Mytilus edulis: one gene and its partner. The protein of the gene in region 2 purifies or fractionates together with the protein of the main gene of each other region. This does not show direct contact. Links are inferred from orthologs where the notes say so. Each region holds a gene or a part of one and is shown on either strand. Other genes may lie near its edges.

Region 1 (10,688 bases), on a different chromosome or scaffold from region 2:
TATAACAACATTTTTTCTAAAAAAAATACATCTTAACCCAGTTGTTACACTCCTGACAGACCTGGGTAGTCCTCTTATTGTAACCATAATATTCCAGTAGTAGAACTTCAGGGTCAACTGGATGCACCTGTGCCAAGCTATGATACTAAACAAAAAAAAATAAACCGTGCAAGATGTACAGAAACATGTTATTTCACCTACAAAGACATTTTCTGGCAGCATATTGACTTTTACTAACAAATTATTTTTTTTACACAAACTTATTTGACTTACCTTATGAGGCTCATAAAAATGTAAATATATGGAAGAATTGAATAAGAAATCATAGTCAAGATATAATAGTTGGATGAAAGATATTGTTTGGTATTGTATCTTCCCTTATTTATTCTATATCATCAAGGAATGCACATGCTTTCTTCTAGATGTCACACTAAAAGCGTTACACTCCTGACATTTTGAGGTACAATTTTGGACAATATTTTTTAAACAGAGCACATACTGCTATTATCTTTGGTAGTTAGGACCAACCAATCATAATACATTATCTGACCTAAAAACATTACAGATATAGTATCATACAAGAGACTGACAAAGGTTTAAAGGAAAGGCATCATTTTTTTTGAAATAGCCCATAACAGGAATGGACAGGATGGGAACAACCCCTTTAGATGATGACTGATAGAATGATTTTAATTTTGTTCTTAAACCACTTCTTAGTACAGAAAACATGGACATTGACATAATGGCACATATTTATATTATTTACAAAAACTTTTACCAAAAAACAATATGCTTTGTACAATGTTGTATATATATCTGATTTTGTAGGTACATGTATATTGACAAAACAAATCCATGAATTTTGGATAATTCATTGACTTCAATCTTCTTTATCAATGTTTCAATACTGAATATAAGAAGACCCCTCTTCCAGCATGACTAGATTTAGAAAAGTCCCCTTTTATGTAAAAAAAAAAAATTTGTTGTCTTTACTCCATCAGCAAAAAAAACAAACTTGTCTTATTGGAGCAAGGGATATATGTATCACTCATTTGGGTGATTGTTCTAAAACTGATGTGTTAAACAGTGAAATTCTAAAACTACTCTATTGAGGGTCACCTAATTTTTAAGTGTCTTCCTTGGGTACCATTTATGTTTTTATAAAATCAAATATAGATGTGAAACTACCAGTAACTAATTAATTTATTAGCATTTTTAGTTAAGTTAAAACTATGTAATATGTCATCCGACGTGTGATGTATTTTCATACTAATAACAAGTTTCACTGCTGACAGTTTTCACTGTTGGATTTTTAATCAGGTGCTTACTCAAATTTTAAAAACATGTTCTGTCGAATGTTATTAGGTTTCTAGATTTTAAGTCAAGGCTTCCTACAATTTTTTATTGTTTCCGATTAATTTGTGATTTTTGTATGTAAAAAAAAATAGTGTCATATGTTTTCGTACAATCTTATTAAAATAAGTTCTCATCACTTGCTCCTCGATTTTTTATATGTCGCCATGTAACATATAAAAAATCGAGGAGCAAGTGATGAGAACTTATTTTACATGTAATATAAAGATAGGTTTTCGTATGAATTAAAAATTGGATCAGTACACCGTCAGGAAATGACTTTAAAGTCTGGAAATGAGCATTTTCTAAAGTTGTGGTTCTGGTGATTGCTTGAATCATAAAAAAAGTTATTAAATACTTTTCAGTACTATAAATAACTCGTAAATAGTTTTAGGTTGGTGTTTCATGTGCTGGAAATTGTTACATTGTGATTTATTTCAGATTTGCACTGGGTTTCTACAAAGAACATTATTTTTTTTTTAAATAAAATGCAGATTTCAAAAAATGGGATTAAATGTAAGAAATTAAGACAGTTTTCATCTCTATGTATCCAGGATGAATAATAAGAATTGCCAATAGAATATTGAATAAAATGGATTTTGAACAACCATTTTATATAAGAACCATGATAATTTTAACTAGCTTGTTTGTAATAAAAATGACCAAAAATACACATCATGACATGACAGTCACATGTCTTGAAGAAATGGTGTCCCAAAGGCAGAAAATATAGCTATACTTCATGTAACCCCTCAGAATTTTTCTCACCAACTATTCTGGTGATACATATTTTTGACATTAAATAAAAATGGCTGAACAGGTATATTTAATTTAATTATTTCTTACGTCTTTAAAAGCGACTTTCAATATATCATACATTTTTCACGTTGTGGTGTTGTTGTTGTTCAAAATATAGAAACCGAAAAACATGCCACAATGTACGAGTATGCATTGGAAACCAACGAACTGTGGTTGATACGAAAATATATGACACAAAGATACAAGCACATTAAAAATTAAATCTAAATCATAGGCGGATCCAGGGGGGCTCTAGGCTCCCCTTTCATGGGAAAAATTTGGTTGATTATATAGGGAATCATTGAAACATGACTGGAGTGGCCCCCCCTTAGGTCAGTCAGAGGGCCCCCTTTAGGAAAAGTTCTGGATCCGCCACTGTAAATGTTACATTTTATCAAATTGTTATAACAAGTAACAGGGCCGTAACTACCTATGAGGCAGGGGAGGCAACTGCCTCCCCTGAATTTTCTACACCATTTTTTTTTTTAAGCATATGTTGAATTTATATTATAAACAACACAAGTTTACACTGTGTCTGTCATTTTTCTGATTTTTGATCGAAAGTGAACCGGTTTTTTTTCGTGTGGCCGTCCGTCTGTTATTCAGTATTGAAGGGGTCAGTATTTGTACGAGAACACATATGAAACTTTGCTTTCGATAATTTTGAATAATAACTTAACTATTCACATTTCTTTTGGGGCTCAATTAAGCAGAGGAAGTTCCTTTTGTATTGTGAATCTTTTAAGATATCGGAAATTCATTACCGGCTGAATCAGCTGTTGGGTCGTTTTTACTCCCGATCGTACGAGAACATAATTTATGGTCAATGCCTTAGTAGGTAAACACTCCCATTCGTTGTAGCAGGGACTTACTATACTAAGCATATACTAGACTAGTATAGAAAATCCCTGGTTGTAGTTATATACATGTCTGTTCAGCTTTCAACAATATTGAAATTCAAGATCCTCGATAAATAAAAAAATTATCTTGCGTTCTATTATCTTGCTTTATATGTTTTTTGAACTTACCAGTTTTTAAAAAAAAATATCTTTTAATACAGATAATAATTGTTTGCTTGAAAATTTCTCCAAAGATCCAGCAAAACTGATCTTTCTTAAAGTAAGGAAATCGAAAGAAAACGGGTAATTTTTAGCCATATCATTTGAGAAAAAAATCCGCGGTCACAATGTATTTAATGTTAACAATTATAGGTCAAAGTACGGCCTTCACGACGGAGCCTTGGCTCACTCTGAACAGCAATCTCAGCTTGTTTTTGCATAAGTTTGAGTTGCTTCCAGGTTCAAGCAATACTGATGTTTCTTAAAGTAAGGAAATCGAAGAGAACTGACAGGTCATTTTTAGCCAATAACTGAGGGGAAAAAAATCGGCGGGGGCTGTGCCCCCAACCCCCATATCTAACGGGGGCCTCAATCGGCGGCCCCCAAACCCTGCCTCCCCTGAATTCGAACCCTAGTTACGGCCCTGAGTAACGTCATGTATTGTGGAGTATACTATTATGAACATGAAGTGCGCATCACTTGATAATGTGTAGACACTAATGCTTCTATAAATGTACATGTATCATGTGTTGAAACTTGTAGTCTCAGGTTGACATATGGTACACTCTGTCACTCAACTTACAAATTGTACACACACGGGAATAATGAATTGTTTCAAAGATAAAAATGAATTTTGTCAAAATTGTTTAGAATTTTATTATTTCACCGGTAAAGTTATTTAAGCGTATTATGAATTCAAACACACGAATGTAACGCGGTACCCTTTTCGATTTTTTTCAAAAATGGTCAATATTGTAAAACTTACACTTTGTATGGAAGTTTTGGATCCGATGTCAGAATGATCTTGAAAGTAACTTTAGACCTACAATTAGAAAGTAAAGTTGTGTATTAACTGTGATAATAATGACTAAAATAAACAAATTTCTGGAAATAAACACACATGCTTACATTTTGACAGCTGTGACACGCAATCCCGGAAGTCGAGGTTCTTATACCGCTGACGTAAATGAAAAAAAAACTTAATAATAAAACGTTTTAATTGTTTGAATAAAATAGATCTAATTTGTCATTTAATTATAATCAGGAAACATAAAACAATTTCTATATCTATTTCTGTCTAATAGCATTGAATAAACGCTTTAATTTGAGAAGACGGTTATTTGAATGAAAACTATTTTTGTTCTAAGGGAAATCCCAGCAATGTTGTCGACACCTAGCGGAAAGGTTTATTTTATTAGCATTTAATCATGTGACTTGATAAGAAATGATCTCTTGAACAGTGGTGTGCAGAGATGGGGCTTTACTTTGTTTTAATTTTGTCAGTATTTACTTTATGCAATGTGTATGCAGAAAATTATTTAGGACCTACGGATGAATCAATTAAAAATAAAATTAGGAGGGGCGACTTAGAAGAAGGATTCTTGGGTAAGTTTTCTTTTACTAATAGTAATTTTTGTAAGAGGCGTATTTCACACTTTGTTATAATATCTGGATATCTTATTCTATTTATTAATACAGCAGCGGACTTTGTATTGTAAAATTTTTCAAACATTTATCTTTCATTAACAATTTGACAGTTTTTATGTCAATTGGATATATGTCTTTAACATATATATCTGTTTAATTAACAAAAATAATGCAACACAATTTTTTCCATATAAATTAATTGTTAAAAAAATAAGAAAAGCAAGATTATGTGAATCTGATATGCCAATTGGAAATGATGGAATTCTGTCACAAAAGAAATGAATATACTCGACGTATTATGTCTATACATGTATATATATATATATATGATATAGTTTTTTTTGCGCTGATGTGGCGTAAAGCAATCATCAATCAACCAATATATCTATGTTGAAAAAGACGAAGTATTCATTTGGAAGTTGAGGAGAAAAAAGAAATTCAATATTGGAACTGAGTTACCAAATAAACTCGGTTTCTACAAGGACCCATTTCATTTCGACACCGACCTATTTATTAGTTTAATAGTTTAATCAGTTATGTAAAATGTCCGTTGTCGATGTCCCGGACGTCCAAGATTTTATACACCAAGAAAGGAGAAGGTTCACGAAGGGTTAAAATTGGCCCTAAATTTATGATGTTTTTTTAAATCGGGCCAAAAAGTTACAAATTTCACATAGAAATACTTCTGAAAATACTACTAAGACAAAAAATATATTTTTATGACACCTTCCTTTGAAATTTATGAAGTTTTGACCCCTTGTATAAACGTTATTCGTATTTTAAAGTAAATTTTGGTATTTTTTCCCCATAATTTTGTTTGTTTTTGGCATAATTAACCTTGGCCTCCATCTACGATCCAAAAAGTTTTTATATGGATGAATTCTGTATTAAAATTGAAATCTTTTTTCCGCCAGCACTTAACGTATATATATACATGCTATCTTAATTTCAGTATAGTATTCATTTTTTTCTGAAATACTATATATATATATAATGATTTCCTAATCCAAAGATACATCACCTTTGGCAGCAATTGACAAACTCATTCTAAATTTCTTTACCTTTTTAACGTTTTTTTTTTACATTTTTATATTTTCTTATTTGAGTATCACTGATAAGCCTTTTGTAGACGAAACGTGAGTCTGGCATACAAAATGTCAAGCCTAGTATCTATGATGAGTGTATTTGCATAACCTTCTTTTCGCTACAAAAAAAAACTATATTAAAAGAGTCTGATGTTTTCCCATCGTTTCAATTGACTGTGAATGTTTGGATTAAATTAATTTAAAAGTGGTCGACGATTTACTGTAACAAGTGCTGCTGGGCACCAAAAGAGCATATCATAAACATAACAAAACAAACTGTACCATTTTGTGTCGGTAGCCGATGAAACTGAAATCGTTGTAAGATAACACTTCATAGATTATACATCAGATATTGTCAATGAATTCACTTTGCTTAGTTTAGTCTCTTTTTTTAGATACATAATCAGTTGGTGACTAAACATGCCGCTTTAAATTCTTAATTTGCTTCGTCACTTAAAATTTTACAAATTTACAAGAAAATCTAGCTTAATGGTAATATTTGGACAAAAATCACATGTTATTTCAGATAGAACGTAATTTGCACTTAAAACATTTGGATAGCAGATACAAAGTATTTCATTAGCCAATGTGAATTCTACGGACCAAAGGGAATTAACAAAGCAAGATAAAGTATTTCATTAGCAAATGTGAATTCTACGGACCCAAGGTGATTAACAAAGCAAAAGCTAACAAAAATTGTGACCAAATTTCAACTTCATAGGATATGATAGGAAAATTACAAACGTATTAACATGTACACGAATAGAAAAGGCCACACCAAATTTAAGTACTTTCAGATTGGCCCACCTCTTGATGTCAGATATTTTCAACAGTCGTGCATGCATAATAAATGCTTTCCGGTTGATTCGTAAATGTTAAGCAATTTTGCACTTAACAAGTTGAAATAAGTTGAAAATAAGTCAGATATATATAATGAAACTTCCCTCCTCCACTCCTATTATGATTAAGTCATCTTGTTATTATAAACAACTATAGTGCAAATCCTCTTATAGATATAAAACTTAGAAGATTTGATATGATTGCAAAAAGTAAAGACAAACGAATTACGGCCAAACCTATAGACAGATTACGACGGAACCCCCCCCCCCCCCCCCCATTATGACAAAATGTAGAGAGAAAAAACAACAGACTTTTTAAACCGTAATGAAGAATGAAGTAAATATACAAATTGCATTATAAATAGATATTTTCTGGTTTTAGGATAAGTTTTGTTGACAAAATAATTTTTATTTTTTTGTTGTTATCGCTCTAAACATGAATGTAATTATAAATTTCAAAATCCTTGCCACAAACAATATTCAATTTGAAGCATCTATCTTTGAAGTATGAGAAATTATTGTTTACGAGTTTTTCTTTTCATAATATGCCACACAAGCGATCTACTTGTGGTGGTTTTGGGTGTAATGCGTTATGTACAAAGGAGGGTCACATGTTATATAGTGCATTATAATATTAAAACCCATAAAGAACACCATTTCAAAAAATTGTATACAAAGAAGCATATTAATAAAGATTTTAACGCTAATTGGATCAACTCGTATTTTTCTTAAATGCGTTTCATTACATAACATACAACGTGAGGTTATCAATTTAACGAAGAAAGCCATTCTCATTTCAGTCCACCTAACTATTTAGCTTTAATGGAAGACACATAAAACAGAAATAAACACAGAACTTCTCCAAAATTGTGTAATTATGTAAACCTAAGCAAAACTGCAGTATATACACATGTGTGCGTACATGATGAACTAGCTCAATCACAATCGTAATGTCTCTTACAAGTACAGATATCGAATCCGAGATAAGCTACATGTAAAGTCAACATATGGTCACAAATCTTTGTTTACATCTATATTATCAATTTAAAATTAACACAATTATGAAACTTGACATTTGAAATAGTTTTCGCAGATGTGGAAATCGGGTGTACTACCATATATTAATATAACTTGTTTTAGCCAAATTGCTTAGTGAAAAGGATTGTTATTAATGAACTGTTAAAGTTTACAAAAGTCATAGAAAGGGCCAATTTCGAGTTAAGATGGATTTTAATATAAATGAAAATATTTAAATGTTGAAGCAGCAAATGCTGCGTACACGCCTGTCCTAATCCCTTTTTATTATTTTACCTCGTTGATCGGTTGCCCTCATACATTTTTGTAATAGAAAGCTACTTATTGTTTTATAGTACGTATACATGTATACTTTATCCATGTATGATATAGGAACTTCTGGAAACGCAGCACTTGAGACCATTTCATAATTATTGTTACAAGCTAGTGAAATGGCAAGGTGTGATAAGAATCGGTTATCTCTTCAAGTTTCACAAATTTTTCAAATATGGCGAAAAACCGATGGTACACAAACTGGTCCATTCTGTTGAAAAATAGCGGATTTTTGCTAGTTTCTGTTTTCTGTGACTTCGACCGTTTGTAGAGATGCCAATAACAAGTACTAAAAAAATCACACCCGTTTTGTAAAATTGACATATATCTTTAGACGATAAAATACGGTCAAATATTTTTTTTCTGTACCACACAATTTTTTCTATATATGTACCAGACTCGAAGTTGTCCTTGTCCTTTCCCATTGATATCAGATGAAGTGAACACCTTGTGCGGAACGATTGGAATCACCATCTGGTAGGTAGGTACCTGTCGTCGATATGCTATCTGCTATCAAAAACATGCCTTTAATTATGACATCCTTTATTCAATAGGAAAGATGAATCTTTTTGTACTTATCAATTAACAAAGGGTTCGCCCTCAGTGAACCACAATAAGTGTTAACCTGTTGGCGGTACGAATTTCTCTTATATTTATGGGTTAAACATCGCAGGGATCGATAGATCCTCGGACTTGTGAGCCTTTGAATGATATATATAACCTTTCAGTTGTTCCCACCTTAAGCTAAACAAGTATGATTTTGCGAAAAAAGGTAATGATGTATCGAATAACAGTTTATAACATTTAAAGGTGATCAAAATTTACACGGTATACATTGCAGACTGTCACCATTGAAGATTTGTATTTATCTATTGACGGAGCGAGGCCGAGTTCTCAGCAGACACCGTTAACTAAGTACGAGTATGTGTCTGTTACTGTAAAATACTGGTGTAAAAGAGGAACTTTAATAATTTTTGTACAAGCAAAAGGTGCAAAATATTCACTTAACTTCTGTTTACATGTGGTATTGAATATTTTGTTTACTCACACTATGTTTTGTTTAATGTTTCCTTTAATCTTAGCATGAAAGACAAAGTCACGAATAACTTAAAGGACTAGATATTTACAACGGTATAATACCGTGGTTCGCTCCAATTTTTATACATGTAAATAGATATTACATTTTAAATTGAATTAGGAGAGGAAATCAAATATAAATTTAAACAGTATTTGAGACATGTCGAATTACATATTTGTTGATAATGACAAAGCAAAATGAAAATCGAACTTTTATTTTGCCAAGGTAGGAGATTTCAATCAAAACAGAGATAACTTATCAAACATAATCTCATTTGTTTTACGACCTACTGACAAACTGACGAGGAACAAGATCGAACTTACATAATGTTTTACGACCTACTGACAAACTGACGAGGAACAAGATCGAACTTACATAATGTTTTACGACCTACTGACAAATTGACGAGGAACAAGATCGAACTTACATTATGTTTTACGACCTACTGACAAACTGACGAGGAACACGATTGAACTTACATAATGTTTTACGACCTACTGACAAACTGACGAGGAACAAGATCGAACTTACATAATGTTTTACGACCTACTGACAAACTGACGAGGAACACGATTGAACTTACATAATGTTTTACGACCTACTGACAAACTGACGAGGAACAAGATCGAACTTACATAATGTTTTACGACCTACTGACAAACTGACGAGGAACACGATTGAACTTACATAATGTTTTACGACCTACTGACAAACTGACGAGGAACACGATTGAACTTACATAATGTTTTACGACCTACTGACAAACTGACGAGGAACACGATTGAACTTACATAATGTTTTACGACCTACTGACAAACTGACGAGGAACAAGATCGAACTTACATAATGTTTTACGACCTACTGACAAACTGACGAGGAACAAGATCGAACTTACATAATAGAATAGAATATTGGATATGGGGAATCTTACCATTACACAGAATGAGTAAACGCTCAGCAAAAACAGAAAAAAAACAAAAATCTGTGTTGTTATTGCTTATCTTCATCTCAAGATGACAATGAGAGTTTCAACACATAGCAAAAACTCTACCCTCACTTCAAGTTTAAAACGGTCCTTAGCACAGGTTTGAGCAAAGTTCTTTGCAAACTGACGTCACATATGCTCTTTTCGTCGAAGAATTCAAAAAAGGAATAGACATATATGGAATACTACTTTTTTCGGGAGGTTTCAGCTCTTTGAAGGCTTTTCGTTACCATAAAAGAGTAAAATACCCCCAAAAAAAACTCAGAGGAAAATTCTAAACGGAAATTCCGTAATCAAATAGCAAAATCAAAGTAAACTTGTTTGTATAGTCAATATTTACCCATTTGATCGGTTTTGCAAATTCATCTGCATATTATTAGGCCATTTAAGGTGGCTACATATCATTGCTTACGATAAGACGAAGAAAGATATTGCAGATGAAGAATCGAAAATAATATAAGTTCACAATACACACCACACTAGGCTAATGATTGAGGGACATGCACATAAGCTTAATGTTTGTGAAATGTGGTGCTCCGAAAGTGTAAACTTCTGCTTCATTATTGACACCCGCCAGCTTGTGAAATGGTAAAATCTGGTGATGAATTGCATTCGGTAATGTAAAAGAAAGGACAGGACTTTGGCAACGACAAATGGAGCATATCTATATTCACCAATGACACATATATCATATAACAGCCAACTATAATTGAACGG
Region 2 (11,322 bases):
CACCAGTGACGCTCAGATCTAAATATTTATAAAGCCAAACAAGTACATATACAAAGTTGAAGAGCATTGAGGACCAAAAATTCCAAAAAGATGTGCCAAATACGGATAAGGTTATCTATTCCTGGGATTATAATTGATATTCATGTCAACACCTAAGTGTTGAATAAAATGTTGAACTCTGTAAAATACAGGAAAATGGAAAAAAAAATAAAAATGTATTCATAATTTTGCTTTAGATACTGTTTTTTATATAACATAAAAAAAGATTTGTCCAAGTTGCATACCATTCCATGATGGTTTGACTTAGTAATTGTTGTATAAATAACACTTAAACCAAGATTGAATCTAAATATTGACATGTGCGATGACACTTGTAAAATGTATAGGATCACTATGTCTAGCCTCTGCAACAAAATGTTGAAAGCTAGACAAAAATGATTGTAATTCTTACCAAGTAATTTGTTGTAATGAATATCAATAGGTAATGCCTGTACTGTCTGTTGTGAATTTGATGCCATGTTGAATTGGTTTAGTTATCTAAAAGAAACAAGAAAAATGTGTTGTCACTAATATCACATATCACTCTTAATGTTGTTCTAGTACCAATGGTTTATAAAAGCCTTTAATCTTTTATCATGGTGAACTGTGGTCAAGGGCTCACACAACTTTAGAATCATAGCGAAAAGTGTTCTCTCTTTTTGAAAGAGGGACGAAAGATACCAGAGGGTCAGAGTCAAACTCATAGATAGAAAATATACTGACAACGCCATGGCTAATAATAAATAGACAAAACAGACTGTGTTCAGCCCGTTGTCCTGTTTTGTGTGGAATTGATCATTGGTGCATTCATACCTGCCAACCCTCCCGTTTTGAACAGGAGACTCCCACTTAAATGCTGAAATTCAGGAAATCTCACGCTTGCCGGTACCCTCCCGGGCGGGATTACAAAATCTCCCGCTTTGGGATATTTTAACCTTGAATGACAAGTCAACATTAAGTACGTTTTTGTGTCCATTTTTTGTATTTAACTTAAAACCGACCTGCAAGGGCTGTATAGCCAGTCAAGGTCGTTAAAAACTTCCATTTGTTGATAAACTTAATGAAAATGTGCATACACAACCTGCACCATGTAACCATTATGGTTGAACACATGGAATACAAATACAATAAAGTTGTCCTGATGGGATGCAAATGACAAAGATGATGAGAAAGAATAAACAACCAACACATTCTGTACAGGTTATAAGTATATTTAAAGAAATAAAGTATATTCAATAACTCTTATATATGATTGTGTTTTGTAGATGAATAGATAAACAGGTCATATATTTCACTTGAAAATGTTGTTCGCGCATAATCTCCCCCTAAGCTGTCATGGCTGAGGGGAAGATGTTTCATAGGTTGGCAGGTATGTGCATTCAGTAAGGCCATGTTTTTTTATTTTGTTGGTTTACGGATCCGCTGACCCGATTTTGCCGATTTTCAGAATAAAAATAAAATTGACTTTTCATGCCGCCGACCCTAACAAATGCATTATCCCTGAAAAATAATCAGAGAGCTGTGGTGTAGTAGTTAGTACATCGGACTACTAACACAAAGGTTCCTGGTTCGATTCCCGTCTGGGATGAAAATTTCAGGAACTGAATTTTCGGCTCTCCCTTGACACCATTTGCGAGTATAGTCTCGAGGAAACGATGATAGTCCGTCGGAAGGGGACGATAAATGGCTGACCTGTGTTAAGAGAGAGCCATATCTCTTGCACGTTAAAGACACCCTTGTAGATTTCGAAAAAGAGCAGGCTAATGCCACTACAAGGCAGCACTCGCACCCGCAAAGTGGAAAGGGATTAATATAAGTTGCAAAACTTGTTTCCCAATCCACTATAAATAAATATGTTTAAACTTACTGACCTTGAAATGTCGTTTGCGCAAATAATTTTGCGGAACGAAACCGGAGTTTAAAACCAATTACAAAAATAAGTTTGTTTCCCTTATTTGTCATCAGTCCGTAAGATGCAGCATCTCATAGGAATAGACTTGTCCAAATTATGTGATATCATGTTAAAATACTGAATATTAACAAATCATTTGAAATTTTCTTGTTTCATAGATAAAAAAAAATATTGGCCATTTGGTTAAAAAAACAGGAATGCATGACAACAGATTAACCCAATATTCTCGTTTTCCAGTGGACGAGTCTATTACATTTTTTGACACGTGTGTTGAAACTTATTTTCGTACGACGTTTTTACATTTTTTTTTATCAGTTTTCGTGCTTGAAGATCATTATTCACCAAGTTTTCTGGAATTGATTAAGAGCTACACCATGTACACGAATCTGTTTTTCTTGTTTGTGTTATGTGGCTCATTGTGTTTCATGCTGTCTTGAAATAAAATCTGATAAATCCATTGCTGAACCTGATTAGTGCAGAAAGGCAGAAAACACCTGATGAGTCCCTTACCATTCTACACCGGGGGTCTCATTTGGGGGGTTCCGATCCCAGATCCCGCTTAACATTTTGTCAGATTACCATATCCCGCTTACACATTTTTACACTATGTACGTAAGCAGTTCTCATTTTTTTGTCATTTCCCGGGTCCCGCTAGACCTCATTTCCTGCTTTCCCAACACAATAATTTGACTTTCACGTGTCACGCTTACAAAAAATCGGCAATACCGTGTCACGCTTAGACCCCAATAAGACCCACTACACCGTGAATACTACTAATAATATATTTCATTCAATAAAATATCAAGCATATGAGTTTTACAATACACAATATGTAAACTCCTGTAGTTGGTGATCGCAATACTGGTATACCAGTATTGTGTACAATACTGGTATAAAAATTTTGTACCAGTATTGTAACTTTTTTTCAAAAAACAACAATACTGGTACATTACTGATATACCAGTATTGTAGTTGTATTGTCTGATTGTTGACTATACTTTAAGGTTACATATAGGTGAATAATGAAAAAAATAATTTTAAGCAAAATTAGATATTGAAGATCAAAGGGAAATTAAATGAACTCCAAAAGATTATAGAGGATAATTGTGAAATCAATATTCATATTTAACAACCAGTTAAAAAAAAATAACAATGTATTATACTTGTACAAATAAACAAAAGAATATTGTAATTAACTCATGCATGTACTACATACATTTATAAAACATAAACAATTGTTAATCATGTATAATAATTGCTAAACATTTAATCATATTTCTATATCTTATTTAATTTATCTGAGTTATTATTTAACAAAATTTTAATGTTGAAAAAAAATTCAAGCAAATTATTACACTCTAACACTTTCTGACTGTAAATTTATCATTTACATGTATGTTAGTATATATTTGTTTAGGGGCCAGCTGAAGGACGCCTCCGGGTGTGGGAATTTCTCGCTACATTGAAGACCTGTTGGTGACCTTCTGCTGTTGTTTTTTTCAATGGTCGGATTGTTGTCTCTTTGGCACATTCCCCATTTCCATTCTCAATTTAATATCATATTTTTTTTACAGATATTTTAATATATATGTCATGTATGTTTACTAGTCTAAATACTATTTTATATGTATTTGTTGGTCTTTAGTTTCTTAATAATCACAAAAAAAGATATCAATATCCATTAAACATAAAAAGTTGCTTAATAGCGGTACCTGATTTTTATCAAATTAACTAGTTTGTCTACATGAATGTTAAGGGTAGTTAAAGTAGTTGATTCATAACCATGGGCAATACAATTCGTAGCAGATATATCTACTGGTACAAATACTAATACTAGACAAGCACACCGACAGTAAGGAACTGTACAGGTGCTATCTGAAAAAGCTTGTATTAAATCTAGTATTAGCGTAAGAGAAAGTCCACTGAAACTGAATACTAAATATCAATATCCGAAGTGTGTGTATAACAGCAATGTTAATATAGAATTTACTAGAATATACAATGAGTCTTGGAAAGAGAAAGCTGAAAGAAAACATAGATAGAAGAAAGTAAACAGTTTGTTAAAGTGCTGCGACAGTACATATAGGGTTCCCTGAAGTAAAAAACATTAGAAAGATTTAAAACTTTCTTTAATGACAATCGCTGTGTACCATAAATAATGTCATCATCTGTTAAACCTACAATCATTCCCTGTAAAATTGTCATGTCATATATGTTAATTTCATTATGCATATGTATGTGACACCTTTAATAAAAAAATTGATATTAATTACCTGTAGGTATAGGTATTGTTTATTTAAAAAAAACACAATACTGGTACAATACTGGAATACAATACTGGTACAAAATTTTTATACCAGTATTGTGCACAATACTGGTATACCAGTATTGCGATCACCAACTACAGGAGATCCCAACATAAAGACAAATAATACTAACACATATATTATTTTGTAAAATATAATGACATTTTATGAGTGTACATGTATAAGTTAATTCACTATCAGGGAAAAAAATGCTGATACTAATAATTTTTGTTCCTCTATCACAGGAAACAAGTTCCTCGTATTATTTTCAGTATACTAAAATGTGGACAATAAATGTATGTGTCGGATAGAAGCTCATAAACACAGGGAAAAAATCAGAAGAGGTGTATAATTAACTACCAGATGTTTACCTGTCAAGCACACACGTTGGCTTGTTTAGACGGAATTGCCCGATATAAACTGTACAATTTTAGTACCTCAGTCCCGACAGTAACAGTCTGTTTTATTGGTTAATATTTCGCAATAAAATTATATTTATGAAAAATTATAGATTAAACAAAGCAACTATTTAAATAACAAATTTAAAAAAAATAAATGAAATTGGAACTAACCACATAGATTTTGAAAAGAAGTGACCATTTAAAAATATAATTGTAAGACATAATTTAGCAAGCTACTTTCATTTTCGTTTTCGTATTGGTGTCACATGATTTCAAGATGCCCGCCGAATTTTCGTCTTGATTATCCAAATAGATAAAAGATATCCTTCAGATACAATAACAAATTTTATAGAAGGACATGTCTACCTTGGTGAGGGCATTACTTCTCTATTCTGTACTTTTAATCGACAAAGCTTATACAACGTTGCAGACTATCGATCTAAACGGACAATGGGTTATAGCTGATGAAAGTAGACGGGATGACAGTTCACCAGGAAAAGGTACTTTTAATATAGTCTTTGAAATGTGGAACAAAAACATGATCAAATTTAAGAGTTAAATATTAATGTCTGAAACCTCAAAATTGGCTCCATATATTGGCATCGGGCGAATTACATTGCAATGTTATGCATTATATTACAATTATATTACAATGTTGTGCATTATATTACAATTACATTGCAATGTAGTGCATTATATCACAATTAATTTGACAAAACCATGCATTGAATTACAATAACATGCATCAAAATAATGCATTATATTACAATTACTTTTGCAAAGTTATGCATTGAATTACACATTATATTGTAAATCTTATTATCGTCGTGTCATATCGACTCATATGTTTTTTTCGTATGTCATATGTTTTCCTATAAACCACATTTCGTCAGTTTCGAGTGCACAAACATAACATTGTGGCATGTTTTTCTTCTATATGTAGAACAACAACATGAACAACAACACTACAATGTGACACATGTATGCAAGATTCAAAGTTGCATACCTGCCAACTTTTGAAAGTGCCCATGGGGGTTTTAGTGCGCGACAACAATTTCAAAGGTTAAGTTCTTTGCGACGTATTTTGCGCGTGCTGTTTTGTGGTCTAGAAAAGGTGTCATATTTGTATGATGAGCTTACAAGCCTTTTTCTTAAGGATATTTGCATGATTCTAGTTATTATATCAATAGAAAAGATGAATATGTAGCTATAAGACCAGGATTTATTTTCATGTGTAAAGATATTAAATGATTGTTGGCTTTTCCAATTCAAAATTATGCACAAAGAAGGACCTTTATAAAGTTGGGAATAACACCTAGGGGTGACATGCTAGGGGTAACCCCTCAATGTAAGGCCATTAAAACCCACTTTTTAACAAATGAGCACATATTCATACTATCTGAAGAAATTTTCCCAAAGAACTACAAATGTATACATCTTATGATCTATCTGGTATTATATGGTCAACACATGTGCAATAATTTTGAAATGTTCTGAGACCTAAAAAAAATTGGAATCCTAATCCTCATTTAGAAAAGTTTTTCCAAATATAATGAATTTTCCCATTTTCAATTAAAAATAAAATTCTAATTTATTTTTTATTATAGTCAAATGACCCTTGTCTTAGGAACAGTCCCCCATTTACCTGTTTGTTTGGTCCTTGTATAAAATAAAGAATAGTACATTGTACTTTAATGATTTGGTAATGTAATTGAATTGTAATGTCAATAAATTAGTGAATAAACTACTATTTATTATCTTTATGGTAGTACTGCATCATTGAATTTTGTCAATCAGCCATGCTTTTATTCTTAATCTGTGTAAGAATCTCATTGAAGGTGAAAAATCACCCATGTTCAAGATTTTAAAATTCTACAACACAAGTTGAAAATCTAGCATGTTAGAATAATCTTGATCATGTTGATAGGAAACGTTTTTGATTGGCTCATTAATTTGATCACAAGAAACACTGAATTTGATCGGCTAACACGATTGTCTCCCTTGAACACAGTTCAAAATCGGGAACAATGAAATTTTTCGTGTAAATTTTCACAAAATCGTGTTTTATAGCTTTTTTCACGATCACGATCGTGCAATCGTGACAAAGGATCAAAATCGTGTAGTACACGCCTAAATCGTGAAAGTTGGCAGGTATGAAGTTGCTTTTAAGGATGTAAGAAGTAATTAAATTAAAATTACTTGGTCAGCCATTTTTATTAAATGTCAAAATACACATCACTAGAATAGTTGTGAAAAATGCTGAGTGGTTACAAGAAGTATACCCATATTTTCTACCTGTCAGACAAAGGATCTTCAAAACGTGACTGTCATGTGTTTTTTTGGCAATAATTATTACAAACAAGCGAGTTGAAATTATCTTGGTTCTTATATAAATTGTTTGCTCAAGATCCTTTTATTTTTCTAAAACTTACACCTGAAAGTCAAATTCTTGAGAGTGAAAAAAGGAAAAAATGTCTGGCAGGACACTAGAAATTGTATGCGCTATTATGGCAACCATAAGCGGGATACATGATTCAGACAAAACAATTATTGGAATCAAGGATCAGACCCCTGATTTTAATTAGGTCTTTCCACAGAAAAGTGGAAAGACCTATTGTATTTGTTCTGATTATTATCTTCTGCCTTATTTTGTTCTTGCGATTAACATTTGTTTCGCAATATGTTGCTTAGATATTTTTCATATTGTATTGCATAGTTCATGCCCTTTAAAATTTCACCCTGCTAAGACAAACAATTTTTTTTGTAAGAGTTATCTCCCCAAACACTGTTTTCCTTGTGACTACATCTCCTCTGTAACCATTAAAAAAAAAGCAACAAATTTATTTTATGAAATTGCTCATTATATACTTCACATGATTTATTCTTGACCGAAGCCATATGAACACTCCATATGAGAGTTATTTCCCCTTATGCTTGAGATATAAGTGATATGTATTCCTTTCTTGTAAACTATAAGTGATAGAGACCTAGGATCTTTTGATTTGAGGTTCTTGATCCAAAAAAAGAAAATAAGGTCAAGGTTGAGTCCTCAATTTTTCCTTTACTTGTCTTTGCATTTTCTCCAATTCTTTTGAAGATGGTATAAAAGAACAAGTGCAAAATGTTTGCTTGATTGTAAGGCCATTTGACCTTTTAAAAACGGTTGGGTGACATACATGTATGACCTTGAAAAATTACTACCGGAAGTGACATTAAGAAGACTGGAAGTAACAATTTTTGCACTTTTTTCAAGAAAAAGTACCCAGAATTCATATATTTTGTAATTTAAATACATTGACTGATCATTAAAGACTAGAATTGACCTTTGGTCAACCGGAAGTGGCCAATTCTCTCCTGGTTTACAGGCAAATGTATATAGAAACTATATATTTTGGAATCAGAGTGAAAGAAGCTATCATATGAGACCGGAAGTAACATTTACTGCACAGGAAGTAGTACACTATCTCCTTTATTTCTCTCTAAGTATATAGAAAACACTTAATAATCGCATCAGTATAAAGAAATTTATGATTTGATGCAAATTTAAACTTTGAGTAAACAATAACTAGCTGCTTCTCAACAACTATGAAAATTGATGTGGAAAGACATTCAATTGTTCAGACAACAATTGGTTTTTAATTAAGAATAGTGTTTTTTATGTATATATAATTATATACATGTTGTAGTTGACTCTTGTAATTTAAAGTGAGCCAAACCCAAGGATTATTTCAAGATACCCTTAGTTCAGCTCAAACCAATACCAGAAGTTTGACAGACCAAGGGTCACAACTCTTGTTTATCTTGGTGAGACTCAAATAAATAAAATGTGATAACCTACAATTTTGTTTCTATAAAACAAATAATCTTTCAACAGTTCTTGGTACAGTACCAGGGAATATCTATACTTCACTCATAAACAATAACCAAATAGATGACCCATACTACAGAGACAACGATGACAGATATAGATGGATTGCCAAAGATAACTGGTCTTATACCAAAAGTTTTCAAGGTAAGTAGCTAATTCTGCCTTTGTTTTTTTCTTCTTCAAAATATACAAAAAGAACAGAACAAATACAAAAACATCTGTTATCCAGTTGAATTATACCATGTATACAAAGCAAATGAAACTATTTATTAGAAAAGGAAAAAGGGGCCAAGTTGGTACATCATACTACATTATAAGTTATATGGTTCGCTACTGACCCCATACGGATCCATAGAGGGTTAGTAAAATCCATAGGGGGTGAGGCCAGAGGCCGAGTCCCCTATGGATTTTATTCACCCTCTATGGATCCGTAGGGGGTCAGTAGTTTTAACCGTATAATGAATTTATCGGATGCTAGACTTTTTCTGCGTCGTTTTGTTGAAAAATAAACAATGAAACAACATTAATAGATGACGTCGCCATTAACGTGTCATGAACCCCATATGAAACTTACTAACCCCATACGGTCTCATAGGGGATCACCACGTGATGGCGTTTAACCAATCACAACGTGATAATTCATATGTGGTCCGATAAGTATATTTGAATTATTTACATCTGTTTCTTTGGCTTTTATTTAGTTTTAAAGGTTTGTGTAGGTGCATAATTAAGTTATTAAGTATAGGTTTTCCATATTATATATATATAATCACCTTTATACTCAAATTAAAGTATACTGTGAATTCATTTATTTTCATGGGTATTAATTTTCGTAGATTGCTGTAAACTTGCATATTTGTAGATATTTGATTACGTGGCTTTGCTAATCTCTGTATACAAAACCCTTTTGAAAATATGTTAATTGTTGAACAGTTGAATTTGTGGTTTAACTGTACCCATGAAATTCTTGAAAATTGGTATTCAACGAATTATAATGAATCCACAGTATATGGACTTTCATCATGTTCAAGATATTTTGAAATTAAATAGAAAAAAATCTCAAAACCGTAGATCTTTTTTTGTGTGTATTATCTACGGTCAAGAAGGTAATAAGATTTCAACCTTGTTATCACTATTAAAATATCTTTGTAGCGTTTGTTAAACAATTGTAAAAACTACCCCTGACAACCAGTTGTCAATCATACAATAGTTTTAAGTTGAAAAGGCCTTATAGTACATTAAATGATACTTTGTAGTGTTTTAAAATACAACTGTCATGTAAGGATTGTAATTATGCCATGTAGATAAATTTCCTGGTTTTCAACTTGATTGACAGCATTTCATCTCTTCAATGGATTTCATTTTCACGAATGAAAAATTAGGTGCTGTAATGGGGAGATGATTTTGACAAAGTAGAATCCTGACTATCAAAAACAGCAACTGAGACCTGATTTTTGTGTGTCTAATATACATGTATACATGTGGTAGGTTTAACTGCTTCATGGCCTTCACCATTTAAATTTCAGTGGTAGACAACCCTTATTGAAATATGAGCCTTGTGGTACTACTACTATGGCTATGTTGTTTCGATATTACTTGAAAATTCTTGAATCATTTATCACAATTAACTTGCAAATATAAGTTGTGTGGCAATTTCCCCAGAATCTTTTGTTACAACAATTCTCTTCAAGACACCTTATTGCTATTTATTCCAATCTGGATAAGTTCTATAATTACACAACTTTTTCAAACCAGTTGAAGCTATATATAGCCCTGTTCAAACAATGTATTGTGCATAAAACTTTTCAGAGAGACATTTTTAAACCTTCGTCAATACATCAAACAAAGTATATTTAATTAATCTAATTTGTCTTTTAAAAATTGCTTCATCCAAACTTTTTCTCCCTGAGCTCATTGCTGATGACCTTTGTTTTTGCAATGCTTGACCTTAACAGGAAGTTGTCTAAGAAACTGTTTTTCCTGGATTTGACTGAATTCAGGTAGTGGATAAGGTGTGAATAACTGTGTTCTGATATCATTTGGTAATATTATCAGACTAAATTGTATATTGTTAGTCACATCATTTGTTAATTTAAAATACTCTACATTTATTTAAAATCTCTTGAAGGTGAAAAGTTTCATTGATAAACTCTCGGATCAAATGTATTACATCCATTTCATTTGGAGATCTGAACGATAGTTGTCTCATCATACCACATCTCCTTATATTTTATAATTTCTAATTGCACAGATAAAATAATAAGGAAAAAAAGGATAAAAACTACACCACTTTACTTTTATAAAAGCATTTTTTTTCATTTCAGTGACGTCTTCCATGTTTTCATCGCAGTCACTGGTACTGGTTTGTGAAGGCCTGGATACAGTATCCCATGTTTTTATCAATGGAATCACAGTGGGAACATCAGATAACATGTTTGTTAGATATGTGTTTGATATAAAGAAAGCTGCTAGGGTATGATTAAATTGTGTTCATCAGTTCATAAAAAATAATCATATATTGATTACTACAAAATTACTTTCATATGATACTACATCAAGCTTATTATCTGTTTTCTTTGGTTTTGATAAGATCTAATGATTTAATAAAGTATCTTCAATGTTTATGTGACAGACTTTTAGTCCTTCAACTGCCTTTAGTCTATTAGGTAAGGACAAGGTACGATAAGGCCTGTTTTTGGCCCCCCTATGTTCTCATTTTTCAAATTCTGTTATGGAAAGCTACTTTTTATGTTAAAACATTCCTTGATGTTTGAAGTTTGTTTGGATGATTTTCAA

Evidence for each region.
Region 1: the proteins of CDK5 regulatory subunit-associated protein 3-like (region 2) and ubiquitin-fold modifier 1 purify together in Homo sapiens (co-immunoprecipitation; 3 studies listed by BioGRID and IntAct, with this or other methods). This does not show direct contact. The link is inferred for Mytilus edulis from reciprocal best matches to the Homo sapiens genes CDK5RAP3 and UFM1.

What each region holds. Positions count from the first base shown.
Region 1 is NC_092351.1:22,722,845-22,733,532, forward strand, and holds the start of ubiquitin-fold modifier 1, read right to left. Parts: upstream 4,225-10,688; 5' UTR 4,121-4,224; coding exon 4,119-4,120; intron 4,033-4,118; coding exon 3,976-4,032; intron 1-3,975. Other genes in the region: uncharacterized protein, read left to right, coding at 4,463-4,595. UniProt on the Homo sapiens protein: Ubiquitin-like modifier which can be covalently attached via an isopeptide bond to lysine residues of substrate proteins as a monomer or a lysine-linked polymer.
Region 2 is NC_092345.1:53,560,126-53,571,447, forward strand, and holds the start of CDK5 regulatory subunit-associated protein 3-like, read right to left. Parts: upstream 4,726-11,322; 5' UTR 4,629-4,725; exon of another isoform or gene 4,618-4,628; intron 538-4,617; 5' UTR 519-537; coding exon 452-518; intron 1-451. Other genes in the region: beta-mannosidase-like, read left to right, coding at 5,017-5,158, 8,533-8,670, 10,851-10,999. UniProt on the Homo sapiens protein: Substrate adapter of E3 ligase complexes mediating ufmylation, the covalent attachment of the ubiquitin-like modifier UFM1 to substrate proteins, and which is involved in various processes, such as ribosome recycling and reticulophagy (also called ER-phagy).